Linked DNA regions of Callithrix jacchus. The protein of the gene in region 2 interacts with the protein of the main gene of each other region in a pairwise test. Links are inferred from orthologs where the notes say so. Each region holds a gene or a part of one and is shown on either strand. Other genes may lie near its edges.

Region 1 (4,086 bases), on a different chromosome or scaffold from region 2:
ACACTTGCCCATCCAACTTGCTCAGCTTTTGCTGCTCTGAGGGGGCCACAGTATGCCAACGGCTGCCCTTGAACTGCTGCAGCTTGCCTGGGGAGAGGAACCAGCACACTGGGTGCAGGCGTTGCATTCTCTTCAAGTGAGCCAGCCATGGGGCCTGGGAGACTGACCATTGCCTGGGAATGGTGGGAGAGCCTGGGCCACAGGACTTGGGCAGGCTATATAGTGCTGCTCACCCCAGAGCAGGATGAGCCTCGGTAGTGGACACATGGGCCTGGCCTGCTGCAGAGCTCAGGTCTAGGACAAGCTTGGCTGAGGCATCCTGGTATCCTCAGTGGGCTTGGGGACAGGGTTTGTTTTCATATATGCAAGCTATCCCCCTTTACCAAAAAGATATCCTGAAGCAGTAGCCTGGGGCTTAGGCTGGTGGGGGAGGACCCTACCTCCTTCCCGCCGGCTCCAGGGACTATGCTCCAGCAGTTCCACCAGGAGGCAGGGCAGGTTGTGTGTGCTGAGCATGCGGCTCAAGGTACTGAGGGAGAGGCTAGGGGCAGGAATGTTGGGAAGGAGGTGAGCAGAGGCAGGCTACAGGCCCAGTCTTCCAGCCTTCCACGGTAGGCCCAGGCCCAGTCAGGCTGCCCACCTGTCCACGCAGTCTGTGATGTAGCGCAGTACTGAGAGGGCCTTCAGAGCAATCTCAAATTCCATCAACTCTGCCTGCTTCTGTAGCTCCTGGGAGGCCACACAGTGTTTATGCTGGGCCACTGGGCCACTCTCACTTGCGCAGGCCTTGGGGAACCCAGACCTAGGCCTTCTCAACCCTAGGGAACCTCAACCCACCTGCATGGGGTTGTTGTCCTGGGACCCCTCCTTCTCAGGGGGGCCACCACAGCCACTCTGGGCCACCAGCAGAGTCAGTTTGCGGTGGCAATAGTCTACCAAGTCCAAGACAGTGTCTTCTGCTGACTCACACACCTCCTGGGTGAAGCGGGGAGGGAAACTTTCTGTGTCTGATGCCCTCCTCACACAGATGCAACCTTCTTTCCTGCCAGGCCCTGACCTGGAACAGTGGCCCATGGGCAGAGATAGTCTCTCACCTTGTGGAAGAACACTGTCTCCAAGAGGTTGATGATGGAGGCCTCGTGGTGTACCTGTTAGACAAAAAGAAGAACAGGGCCTGAGGGAGGGATAGGGGCCACCAGCTTTCCTCCCGGGTCCAGAGCCCTCTGAAAGAGTGGGAGGAAGTATGAACTAGGGGCCAGCTCACCACCATGTAGATGGGGAAGGTGTTCTGAGGCTTGAAGTCCTCCACCCTGCAGAGCACGGGGAACACCTTCTGCTTCCACATCTCCACTGCAATCAGCTCCTCCACCAGCGTTGGGATCTTTGAAGTGGGGGGAAAGGACAGGGGGAAAGGACAGGAGTAAGATGGGCCTAGCCTGGCAACCCTCCCATCCCTGGCTCAGCTCAGCCCAGATCTCCTCAAACACTGCTGGGCCCCTAGACTCTCCTAGACCCCATGAGTATCCTTCCTGACTTCTCTTTTGCAACTTGGACCTTCATTTCCAGCTGCTCCCAACACCTCTGTGGATGTCCCCCATGCTTGTGACTGGCTCCTGCCCAGTCCCCAGACTGCCTTGCCCTGCCTGCACCTGTACCCTTATCCTCTCTCCCTCCATTCAGGCATTCAAGCCAGCCCTTCTGCTCATGCCCTCCCTCTTGTCCTTGTCCTCTGGTCCTCCAAGGCTCTTGTGTGCCTTGGCCTCACTCTTACTCAGGACCCTTCACAGTGCCCTGTTCCTACCCTATCCCCTAGTAACGAGCTCCACCTTTCTCTTACAAAGGAACTCTTTTTTTTGTGTGTGTGTGAATTGATATTTCAGGTCATCTGCTGGTGATACTCCCTGGTCCATGTTCCAGCCAGGCATCTCCCTGGTTTCTAACTCTGCTCTCTCATGTTAGGAAGGCTGCTTCCTTCCCTGCCAAAGATCCACTTCCAATTAAGTTATCTCCCCTCCCCCGCAGCCTTACAGTCAATTCACAGATGCCTTTAGGATTTGGGCCTTCCCCTCGAATCCTAAGCTGTTCTAGGACCTGCAACTTTCTCTTTATTCAACTCATGCCCTGCACCTGGCCTGGTGTGCCAGAGTCCTGTCCATAGGGATACATAATGTAACACATTCCTCTTTCACCTTCAGGGAGGACAGGTATACCAGGCCAGAGGGCAAAACACACAGGGCATTCCTGAGGGGTAGAGTGGGTATGGAGGAAGGCAGGAATCCTGCCTGTGACCTCAGGGTACCTTCCCATGGGTGACCAGCAGCTCCTGAATGGGCTCGCCCTGGCTGACTGTGGCATCGAGTATGGCTTGCATGTTCAGCTTCTCCAGGTTCTCGTGCTGCTGGTTCCACCTGCCCCCGAGGGTAAGTGCATGTGGGTGCACGTGTGTGCATTAGGAGTGAGGATGGGGGCTGGATCCTACTGAAACCTAACCTGATCCTAAGGGGCCACAGGGGGCTCAGGAGCAATAATACTCCTGTCTCAGAACGCTCTGCTTCCCCATTTGGAGGCCCCTCCACACTGGGCAGCCCCTCCACCCGTATCAGGCCCCAGCTCCCCCACTCAAGGACAATGACCCCATGACTCCGCCTGACCCAGGTGCCTCACCCTTCGGAGCCCATCTCGCGTAGCGGGAAGCTGCGCAGACCCCGCACCAGCACGTCAGCTTCCCCGGGCAGCAGCAGCTCCAGGTCTCCCATGTCGAGGCCGGGGTCCGACAGACCCTGGGCAGCAGTCGGGTGGGGTTACTAACACACGGGGACGATGCCCGACGGTGCCAAAGTCTGGGATCGGACAGTTACGGGACGGTTGGGGAGCGTGGGTTCTCGCAGTCATGGAAACGGGTTCGCCGCGCCTGCGCATTGCGGCCTGGGCCCGCCCCTGGAGGTAGCTCTCGCCTAAATCCGGGCGGGTCTACCGCCGGCCTCACCTAGGCCGCTGCCAATCGCTACAGTACCTGGATTCCCAGAGCTTTTCGGGCTGTGACCCACGAGTCTCTCCCGATTCTTGTGGCCTGGACTCTCTCCTGGGACGCCAAGTCGGCCTGCACAGGGATGGGGTAACCCCGACCCCACCAGCTCTTCCTGCGGCTGTGGCATGTTGACCCACTCGCTGCTCCTCCTCCTCCTCCTTATGGCGTCCCGGCTCCACTAGTTGGCTCCTGAAATACTTACTGCCAGGGCGCACGACTTCTCTCCATCCAGAATGTCGTCACCTGTCATGGGATAACTGTGGCAGCCTTTTCTCTAGACTTATTTCCACGCTTGGTCCTCATGAACAGCCGGGAGCCTCTTTTTAAAAAGTGTATGTCAGGCCAGGCGCGGTGGCTCACACCTGTAATCCCAGCACTTTGGGAGGCTGAGGCAGGCGGATCACTTGAGGTCAGGAGTTCGAGACCAGCCTGGGCAAAATGGTGAAACTCTGTCTCTATTAAAAATACAAAAATTACCCAGGTGTGGTGGCACACACCTATAGCCCCAGCTACTCGGGAGGCTGAGGTAGGAGAACTGCTTGAGCCCAGGAGGCAGAGGTTGCAGTGAGGCGAGATTGCACCACTGTACTTCAGCCTGGAGGACAAAACGACACTGTTTCAAAAAAAAAAAAAAGAAAGAAAGAAAAAACGTGTACAATTACTCTCTGGCATGAGAGAGGCTCTGCAGCTACTTCGGAGCACCAAATGCTAGGTCTGTCACAGCTTACTAGCACTTCTGCAAGATCTACTTCTTGCCCTCTCTCATACCTTGGGACTTGGATACTCGCTTCTCCCCCTTGCTTCCCTGGATCTCCCTCATACATTCCAAAGAGGTTTTTGCCTCAGGGGTTTTGCACTGTGCCTGGAATACTCTTCCTTCAGGGCTCAGTTTACACGTTGGATGGCCTTTCTTGGCCATTTAATCCAGAGCAGTCCCTGCTTCCAACCCAATTCATTCTTGATCACATCTTTTTTCTTTTTTTTTTGCGGTGGCATCTCCTCTGTCACCTAGGGTAGAGTGCATGATCTTGACTCACTGCAACCTCTGCCTCCTGGGT
Region 2 (4,284 bases):
TTCGGTGTCGTGAGTATTTGTCATCTGGGGAGAACCGAGCAGGATGGGCTGAACAGGTCTGTTGTCCCATTGGGTCAAATTTCTGCTCGCGGAAGAGAGAACGTATGTCAGTTCAGGAGTGGTGAAATGGGGTGGAACAGTGTGAAAAAGAGCAAACATGAAAACATTAGATGCAATGGTCAGCTCAAATAGTTGTACAAATAAGTAAATAAAAATAAAATGTAAAAAGGTCGGGTGCGGTGGCTCACGCCTGTAATCCCAATACTTTGGCAAGCGGCGGAAGGATCGCTTGAAGTCAGAAGTTCGAGACCAGCCTGGGCAATATGGCAAACCACGTCTCTACAAAAAACAAACACACAAAACCAACCAAACCAAAAAACAAAAAAAAACCCCAAATCAAAAATTAGCCAGGCATGGTGGCACACGCCTGTAGTCTCAGCTACTCGGGAGGCTGAGGCAGGAGGAGCGTTTGGCCCAAGATTGGCTCCAGTGAGCTTAGATGGCGCCATTGCACTACAGCCTAGGAACAAAGCAAGTCTGTCTCAAAAAAAAAAAAAAAAAAGAAAAAGAAAAAGTGACTCTAACGCGCCTAGAGATAACTACGATTTTAAAAAAATTTTATAAAAAATATATATATTATATATACATTTTTTTTTGAGACGGAGTCTCGCTTTGTCGCTCAGGCTGGAGTGCAACAGCACTATCTCAGCTCTCTGCAACCTCCGCCTCCCGGGTTCAAGCGATTCTCCTGTCTCAGCCTCCCGAGTGGCTGAGATTACAAGCGGACGGCGCCACGCCAGGCTATTTTTTGTATTTTAGTAGAGACTGAGTTTCATCGTGTTGCCGAGGTGGTCTTGAACTCCAGAGCTCAAGCAATTCATCCGCCTCGGCCTCCCCAAGTGCAAAGAGTACAGGAGTGAACCACCACGCCCGACCACATTTTTTTTTTTAATAAAAAAAATTAGTCGCGCACTCCCGGTTCTTCCTCACCTCGGTTCTGGTCTTTCTGGTTCTCCGCACCCAGCTAGGTAACTCGGTGGATGGCCTCACCCACTCCTCCCATCTACATTTTTCGCTATGCCTATTTACAACCTACTTTCTCTCCTCACCTTCAGCGTATAGACCCGATCTCCCTCCTCGTTGAGGTAATACTGGAGAAACATGACCACTCTTGAGCCAGAGGTTCCAATTCGGTACGCAGCTCCGACTGCCCGGTCGCGTCACGTGTTCGTCAATTTCCTTCCTGCAGGGCCGGAAGTCAGTCTCTCCAGGCACGCCGGAAAATGTACTCAATTTTTGCCTTATTTTCAGCTAGACAGAAGAGGGCGCACGAGAGCAGGGCTTGGCTTGGGGCCTCACTTGCAACTTTGCAGGCTAAAACACGTGGAGTATGCCCACTGTGTGCTAGGTACACAGCTTTAGAGGGGGGATAGGGATGGATGTGGATAGAACAATGATGTATGGAGTCCTGTCATTATCTCAAGATACACGCCCATTTCAGGAGCAGTGAGTTTCTAGTGCTTGAAGAAACAAGGGCTCCAGGATTCAGAGCCCCTTTATCCCAGGGAAGAAAGAAGAGGTTTTCTTCCCTCCCCTCTTTTACATCCAGTTCCCCTGCTCCATTTCAAAGCGTTGGCGGTAAAGAATGCATGACGAGTATCAATATTCCGTAAAGCGAAAATAGCGTAAAGTTATCTTATGAAACTGGTGAAGTATGTTTCAGCGGTCAAACCGAGATTCAAACTCAGGTCTCTACTGCAAATTCAGCACTCTTTCTTATAGTGGTGAGTAGCTAATAATAGCGTAACAAAGTGCACCTTCTAGGAGTTTTTATAATTTTTAAAAGAATATAGAAATTCTCCTTACAGGACTCGTTTAAATAAATGAAAATGATAACCAAAGTATCATTATAAAGATGATCATTACGGCATTATTTAAAATGACAAGAGCATTGGAATATATATTAATTGTGTAACCAGAAAAACCTGCAATTTATTATTTTTTTTAAGAATATGGTTTGGCCGTGCGCGGTGGTTCATGCCTGCAATCCCAGCACTTTGGGAGGCTGAGGCAGGCGGATCACGAGGTCAGGAGTTCGAGACCAGCCTGACCAACATGGCGAAACCCCACCTCTACTAAAAATACAAAAATCAGCCGGATGTAGTGGCACGTTCCTGTAATCCCAGCTCAGGAGGCTGAGGCAGGAGAACAGCTTGAGCCCAGGAGGCGGAGGTTGCAGTGAGCTGAGATCGTGCCACTGCACTCCAGCCTGGGCGACAGAGCGAGACTACATCTCTGAGAAAAAAAAAAAAAGAATATGGTTTGTATTTACTTGTAGTCGCATAAAATATCTCTGCAAGTATTCACAAGAAACAGATGATACTAGTTACAGGGGAAAGGGGTGGGAGGCAGACTTATTCCTATGTATTTTATTTTGCAGTTTGATTTTTGAACCTTGCTAATGTATTACCTATTAAAAGTTTAAAAAAATCCAAGTACTTTTGTTAGAAAGAAAAAGGATGATTTCAGCCTTCAGGTCTTATTAATAAAAGAGTCTTTAGAAAACAAGGCGCGGCATGGTGGCTCACTCCTGTAATCCCAGCACTTTGGGAGGCTGAGGCTGGCAGTCACGAGGTCAGCAGTTTGAGACCAACCTGGCCAATGTAGTGAAACCTTGTCTCTACTAAAAATAAAAAATTGGGCCGGGTGCGGTGGCTCAAGCCTGTAATCCCAGGACTTTGGGAGGCCGAGGCAGGTGGATCACGAGGTCAACAGATCGAGACCATACTGGTCAACATGGTGAAACCCTGCCTCTACTAAAAATACAAAAAAAAAATTAGCTGGGCATGGTGGCGCGTGCCTGTAATCCCAGCTACTCAGGAGGCTGAGGCAGGAGAATTGCCTGAACCCAGGAGGCGGAGGTTGCGGTGAGCCGAGATCGCGCCATTGCACTCCAGCCTGGGTAACAAGAGCGAAACTCCGTCTCAAAAAAAAAATAAATAAATAAATAAAAAATAAGCTGGGCGTGGTGGCTCACACCTGTAATCCCAGCTACTTGGGAGGCTGAGGCAGAAGAATCCATCGAACCTAGTAGGTGGAGGTTGCAGTGAGCCAAGATGGCACCACTGTTCTCCAGCCTAGGTAAAAGAGCGAGATTCTGTCTCAAAAAAAAAAAAAAAAATATCTCAGAGGAAGCAAGAAAGATGCGGTGAACCCCAGGGAAGGAAGTCCAAGTTTGAATGAATCTGCGGCTATAGAGGACAGTCTGGGAGTTACTGGCCTGAAATAGTCAACAGGAACCTAAGCAGAGAAATTATATTTTTAAAATTTAAATCAAAATAATTAACAAAAAGAACTTTCTGCTCTTGAAATTTTAAACTGCATGGCAGCTTTTTTTTTATTTAGTGAGGCTTTTCAGCAAAGGATAAAGCTTCTGTGGAGTACAGAGCCTATGGTAATAGACTGGACAGCTTTCCAAGGAAATGATGTGCACACAGCAATTGAGCACCTTGGATCATCTGACAATTCTATTTTTTATTTTTTATTTTTTGAGATGGAGTTTTGCTCTGTCACAGAGGCTGGAGTGCAGTGGCGTGATCACGGCTCACTGCAACCTCCACCTGCCAGGTTCAAGCAGTTCTCCTGCCTCAGCCTCCAGAGTAGCTGGGACTACAAGCGTATGCCACCATGCCCGGCTAACTTTTTAAAACATTTTTAGTAGAGACGGGGTTTCACCATGCTGTTCTCAAACTCCTGACCTCCTGATCTGCCTGCCTCGGCCTCCCAAAGTGCTGGGATTACAGGTGTGAGCCACTGTGCCCGGTGACAATTCTAGTTTTAAACTTTAGTTCCCTTGATCCTTAAGTATACAGAAGAATGTACTCTGAATTTAGTTCAGAAAATATAGCCATCGTTAAATTAAGTCAGGGATCAACCATCAACTTGCTGTTAATAGGAAGTCAGTTATAGAACTGGTTGGTATTGAAGGACAGGAAATGAGATATGTTGGTGAAGAATTGAAGTATAGGGAACCAAATGGTAAAACTGTAATATTTGGGAATCTGGGAAAGAATTTACAAATAGCCCTAAAGAGGTGAACATCAATTGTGTTGCCAAACTGTAGTTTGAAGGGGATTCCTGGTTTTTGCATACTTACTAGAAACCTCATGGAATATCTCCAACAGCCATCCCACTTTTCCATCTCCCCTCCCCCACAGTAGAATGCCTTGAGTTCCATATTCTAGTTCTATTTGATCTGATCTTTATCCTCCCTTCCTTGGATCC
Region 3 (4,282 bases), on a different chromosome or scaffold from region 2:
TTGTATACTGAAGACTTTGCTTGGACAAAAATGTGCTCTTAAACTTCCTTTCACACACACACACACACACACACACACACACACAGAGCTTTTAATTATAGCCATTAGAGACCCAAGCCTTGGGACACAGGGGCAAAAAATGACAAGAGCATGCAGGCAGTGGTAAACTCTGGTTATACTTGGACAGGTCCATAAAGCTTTGGCTCTGAACAGGGAAAATGAAGCATGCAGGGATTCACTTCTGACTTCAACTACCACCTTTCAGGGTGAGCTCAGCCAGGCCCGTGGTGCCATCTTTAAAATGGGAACAAAATAAGTATGCCTATGATCCAGACTGATCATATAAAACCATGGATCCTGAAAGTACTTGGCAGTTCCCTCCTTGCAAGCCTTAATGACGGGCATCACACCGAAATAGGCCTGAATGCAGATATTTTCAAGGAACTCTGAGGCCCAGGGGAGCCAAAGTTTTTCTCCATGGAAGGGCAGACTACTAGCCTCCTCTCCTTCCCCTCTGCTTCCTGCCTCTTTCTAGAAGGAGGCTGGATGGGGGGGAAGCCTGAACCCCCAAATCAAATCCCCTTCTTTATGCCTGACCCAGGGCAAAATAATCTCCCAATACTGTTCCTGAACATTGGAAAAGCACTTTCTTTGGTCGGGGTCTCACTCTGTCACCCAGGCACTGGCACTACACATGGGGGCAGTTTAACTGCATTAGTCCGCATTCTGAAAGATGCTGAGGGAGGGGATTCCGCCACGAGTCGACTGAGAGGATCCCTGGCCCCGCGTAGTCCCTCCCCGCCACCCTCCCTCTGGGATTAGCTGCCCTGGCTCTGCTCAGGCGTCCCCAGCAGTCCCGGCCCGCACAGCCCCATCGCCTCTGCAGAGTGCGGCCGCAGCCTGGAGCCCACCGCCCGCAGAGCTGCGCGGTCCGGGACAGCCCGGTGCACCGGGTCCGTGGATCTGGGACCTCGAACCCAGGACGGACGCAAAAGCCACTCGGAACGCTTGCATTTCTGTAGGTGCTTATTTCTCATTCTTGTCTTTTCTTGGTTGATCGAACTGTTCGTGGGTTACTTTCTGCCTCAGTTAAACTAAAAGGGAAAGGCGGAAGAGGGGAAGCTCTGAAGAATGATTTAGTGGCTGCCCAGCCTCCTCTCCAAGGAGAGGTGTTCTCCGAGCGGCTCTCCCCGTTCCCGACACTGGCCCCTTTAAGAAACCAAGTCAGTCCTGATGCTGCTGTTTGTATTGCTAATCCCCAGGAGCCCCGTTAAAAAAAAAAAAAAAAAAAGGAAGAAAAAAGGGGAGGTGGGGGGACCGGGCAGCTGTCTCTTTAAATGTGATTTCCTTCTATTGTATTTGAATCGTGATCAGGAAAAAGGAAATGAAACCAGAGACAGAGGGAAGCTGAGCGAAAATAGACCTTCCCGAGAGAGGAGGAAGCCCGGGGAGAGACGCACGATCCCCTCCCCGCCCCCAGGCCGCCGCCCCCTCTCTGCCCTCTGCGGCGAGCTGCGCGCGGAGACCCGGGCCGAAGGTGCGAGGGGCTCGGGGCGGCCGGGCGGGCGCGCACCATCCCGTGGGCGGCGCGAAGCCGGCGACAGTGCGCGAGAGGGACCGGGCGGCGGCGGCGGCGGCGGCGGCGGCGGGACCGGGATGGAAGGTTAAGTCCTGAGCAGCAGCAGCAGCTGCAGCCTTCCGGGGCCAGGCTGCGCGCCCCGGCCCCCGCCTCGGCCGCCGCGCGCCCGCAGCCCGGTGATTCGCTCTCTCTCTTTGGCGTTTGAAGGGAGCGCGGTGACTGTCCTTGAGCGCGGAGGGGCGAGCTCGCCGCCGGAGCGCCAGAGCAAGCGGAGGCGCAGGAGCGGCGGCGCCCGAGCACCCGAGGGGGTCCGAGCCCCGGCAGCCGGCCAGCCCCGCGCGACAAAGGGAGCGCCCCCACCGCCCGGCACGCCGCCTCCCTCCCCAATGTCCTCGGCCATCGAAAGGAAGAGCCTGGACCCTTCAGAGTAAGTGCAGCGCCCCTGCCCCTGCCACCCCCGGTGTCCATGGCCTCCCGCCCCGGGGCGGCGGGGGGGACCCAGGCGGCCCGCGAGGGGGCTCCAGGTGCGCGCCCCGGCGTGCCCTTGGTCCCCTGTGCCGAACGCGGGACTCCCCCCTTCCTCGTGGGTAACTCCGGGGGCCCTGGGAGAGGGACTGGGAGGCGGGCGGGAGGGCGAGGGGTCGGCCCGGCGCCTCTGTGGGCCCCTCCAGGCTACCGGGACGCTCCCTAAAGCCACCGCGGGCCAGAAAGTTTGCACGGGAGCAGGCGCCAGGGAAGCCCGGAGGCGCGCAGGTGCAGTCGGAAGAGCGTTCGGGCTTCACTGCTCCCTTCTCCCCTCTCGCTCAGTCTCGGCCCTTTCTCTTTGTCCATTTGGTCTTGGAAAGGGGAACATTCCAAGTGGAGGCCTCCGGGGTCCCCAACGGCCGACTTCCCGGTCCGCAGGTGGAGCCGCTGCCAGCAGCGCGGGTACCGGGCGGGTGAGGGGTCTGACCGCCCTTCTCGGAGCTGGCTCTGGGCCTCCAGGGATTTCTAGAGCAGCGAAATCCGGAGTAAATCTGAGTACGCGTACCCCTCCTCGGGGTCCACCGATGGGGCCTGTGAACCTCGAAAGTTAGTGCACCATTTTGCGTGTAGGTTAATTCTTCTGGGGAGCAGAGTCTCAGTTTTTAGCATAGTCTCAAAAGGGTTTGGGGTCAGGTAACCAGGGCTCTAATGAGCATTGGCCGCATCTGTTTTCTGAGCCTCGTACCAGTTTGGAGTATTTCTCTATCCCTAACCCATTCTTTAGTGTTAACATGGGGAGCAGGGGGTGTTTAAGATATCATTTTCCTGTCAACGCAAATGCCATTTTAAGAGTCATTAGCTGTCTGGTTTTGAGAATTTTTATTCCTTTGAAGTCCCCATCTAATCCTTTGAAGGGATTTGTTACACAAGACCAAAGGAGCTGGTTAATGACTTGTCCATTTGTGCTTTTAAGAGACATTTGTTTTGTTTTGTCTTTTCCTGCTTTAAAAGAATTGTGCTTTCCTGCTTGAAATACCGCACGCACACACACATACACACGCACGCACACACATACACCCCCTTCAATTTCGGCTATGGTGTTTATTTACCTGGGTTTTACCCTCCGTTACCAGCATAAAAGCTCAGCATGTTCTCATAAAACGCAGGAAGTACCACCATCCAATGAGAATATAAACATCACTATTCAGTCTTGAAGGTTAATACACCAGTTCTATAATGAGCTAGGTTTGTTGTAGCAAAAACCCCCACTTCCTTCAACAAATTCTCAGAAGAAAAATAACATTCCTTTTTAAAAGTATGTTTATGCAAACAATGGGTTTAAAGGGTGGTTTGATCACGTTTTTAAATAAACTTAACAATTACAACCGAGCTCTGAGTTTCAGAGACTGGGCAAGATCACACAATAAGGAAGTGACTTGGATGAATTGGTGCCTAATGCCTTTTTGATCAGTAGAATTTTGTCACTAATCCTTTCAATAGAAGATAAATCTGAAGGTTTCAGTTCCCTGAAGGAAGTTTGCTTCTTTCAAAGTTTGTGCTTTCTCACTGAGGATATAAAACTGAAACATCCTAACTTCCTAACAGGCAGGTATCGACTGCTGGAGGCTCACCAGCTCTTTCCTTCACTTCACTATTTGCCCAATGAAGACAGGTTCTAATCAAAAAGGCACAAGCTGGTTGAGAAATTGCTGCAGTGCATTCTCCCCACCCCCTTAGAAATTGTTATGAAATTATCCCAGAAATCCGGGCTGAAGTGATATTCAGGTATAATATTCAAGATAGGCTCTGGGAGAATATAAAATATTAATTTGAGGGTGAATCAATCTCATTCAGTCATTGTCTTGGATTGTCCACTAAGTATAATGTGATATTATCATTAATTAATTATAGAAAGACAGAGCCAATATCTTACACTTTACTTCTCCATCTCATCTCAGGCCGTCACCATAACTCATTTACTTTACGTTCCTCCTGTGGTCCAGTATCCTACTAGATTCTTCATTGTGTACTTCCTCAAAGCCAACTTGGGTTATTACAGTCAGCATCTCCAAATTACAGATGGAGACTTGCCTAGCTATATGCAAATGAAACATTTGGACAGAAAGCCAGCCAGAATTCATGAACACAGAGATTCCCTTGCTATGCCATTGCTGGCCCCCGCTGCCTCCCGTGAGTACCAAGAGCAGTTCATTTGAATTCCAGGCAGTTTTGCACCAG

What was found.
Region 1: the proteins of NUTM1 (region 2) and ZMYND10 interact in binary tests that used the Homo sapiens proteins (3 or more experiments, as listed by UniProt). The two-hybrid records come from large-scale screens. The link is inferred for Callithrix jacchus from reciprocal best matches to the Homo sapiens genes NUTM1 and ZMYND10.
Region 3: the proteins of NUTM1 (region 2) and LMO2 interact in binary tests that used the Homo sapiens proteins (3 or more experiments, as listed by UniProt). The two-hybrid records come from large-scale screens. The link is inferred for Callithrix jacchus from reciprocal best matches to the Homo sapiens genes NUTM1 and LMO2.

Annotation. Positions count from the first base shown.
Region 1 is NC_133516.1:32,917,157-32,921,242, forward strand, and holds the start of ZMYND10 (zinc finger MYND domain-containing protein 10), read right to left. Parts: upstream 2,891-4,086; 5' UTR 2,757-2,890; coding exon 2,665-2,756; intron 2,409-2,664; coding exon 2,300-2,408; intron 1,382-2,299; coding exon 1,265-1,381; intron 1,149-1,264; coding exon 1,095-1,148; intron 976-1,094; coding exon 838-975; intron 730-837; coding exon 641-729; intron 542-640; coding exon 441-541; intron 88-440; coding exon 1-87. UniProt on the Homo sapiens protein: Plays a role in axonemal structure organization and motility. Involved in axonemal pre-assembly of inner and outer dynein arms (IDA and ODA, respectively) for proper axoneme building for cilia motility.
Region 2 is NC_133509.1:54,033,165-54,037,448, forward strand, and holds the start of NUTM1 (NUT family member 1), read left to right. Parts: upstream 1-1,396; 5' UTR 1,397-1,714; coding exon 1,715-1,784; intron 1,785-4,278; exon of another isoform or gene 4,279-4,284. Other genes in the region: NOP10 (H/ACA ribonucleoprotein complex subunit 3), read right to left, coding at 1-82, 1,110-1,163. UniProt on the Homo sapiens protein: Plays a role in the regulation of proliferation. Regulates TERT expression by modulating SP1 binding to TERT promoter binding sites.
Region 3 is NC_133511.1:99,243,136-99,247,417, reverse strand, and holds the start of LMO2 (rhombotin-2), read left to right. Parts: upstream 1-1,392; 5' UTR 1,393-1,656; coding exon 1,657-1,663; intron 1,664-1,786; coding exon 1,787-2,006; intron 2,007-4,282. UniProt on the Homo sapiens protein: Acts with TAL1/SCL to regulate red blood cell development. Also acts with LDB1 to maintain erythroid precursors in an immature state.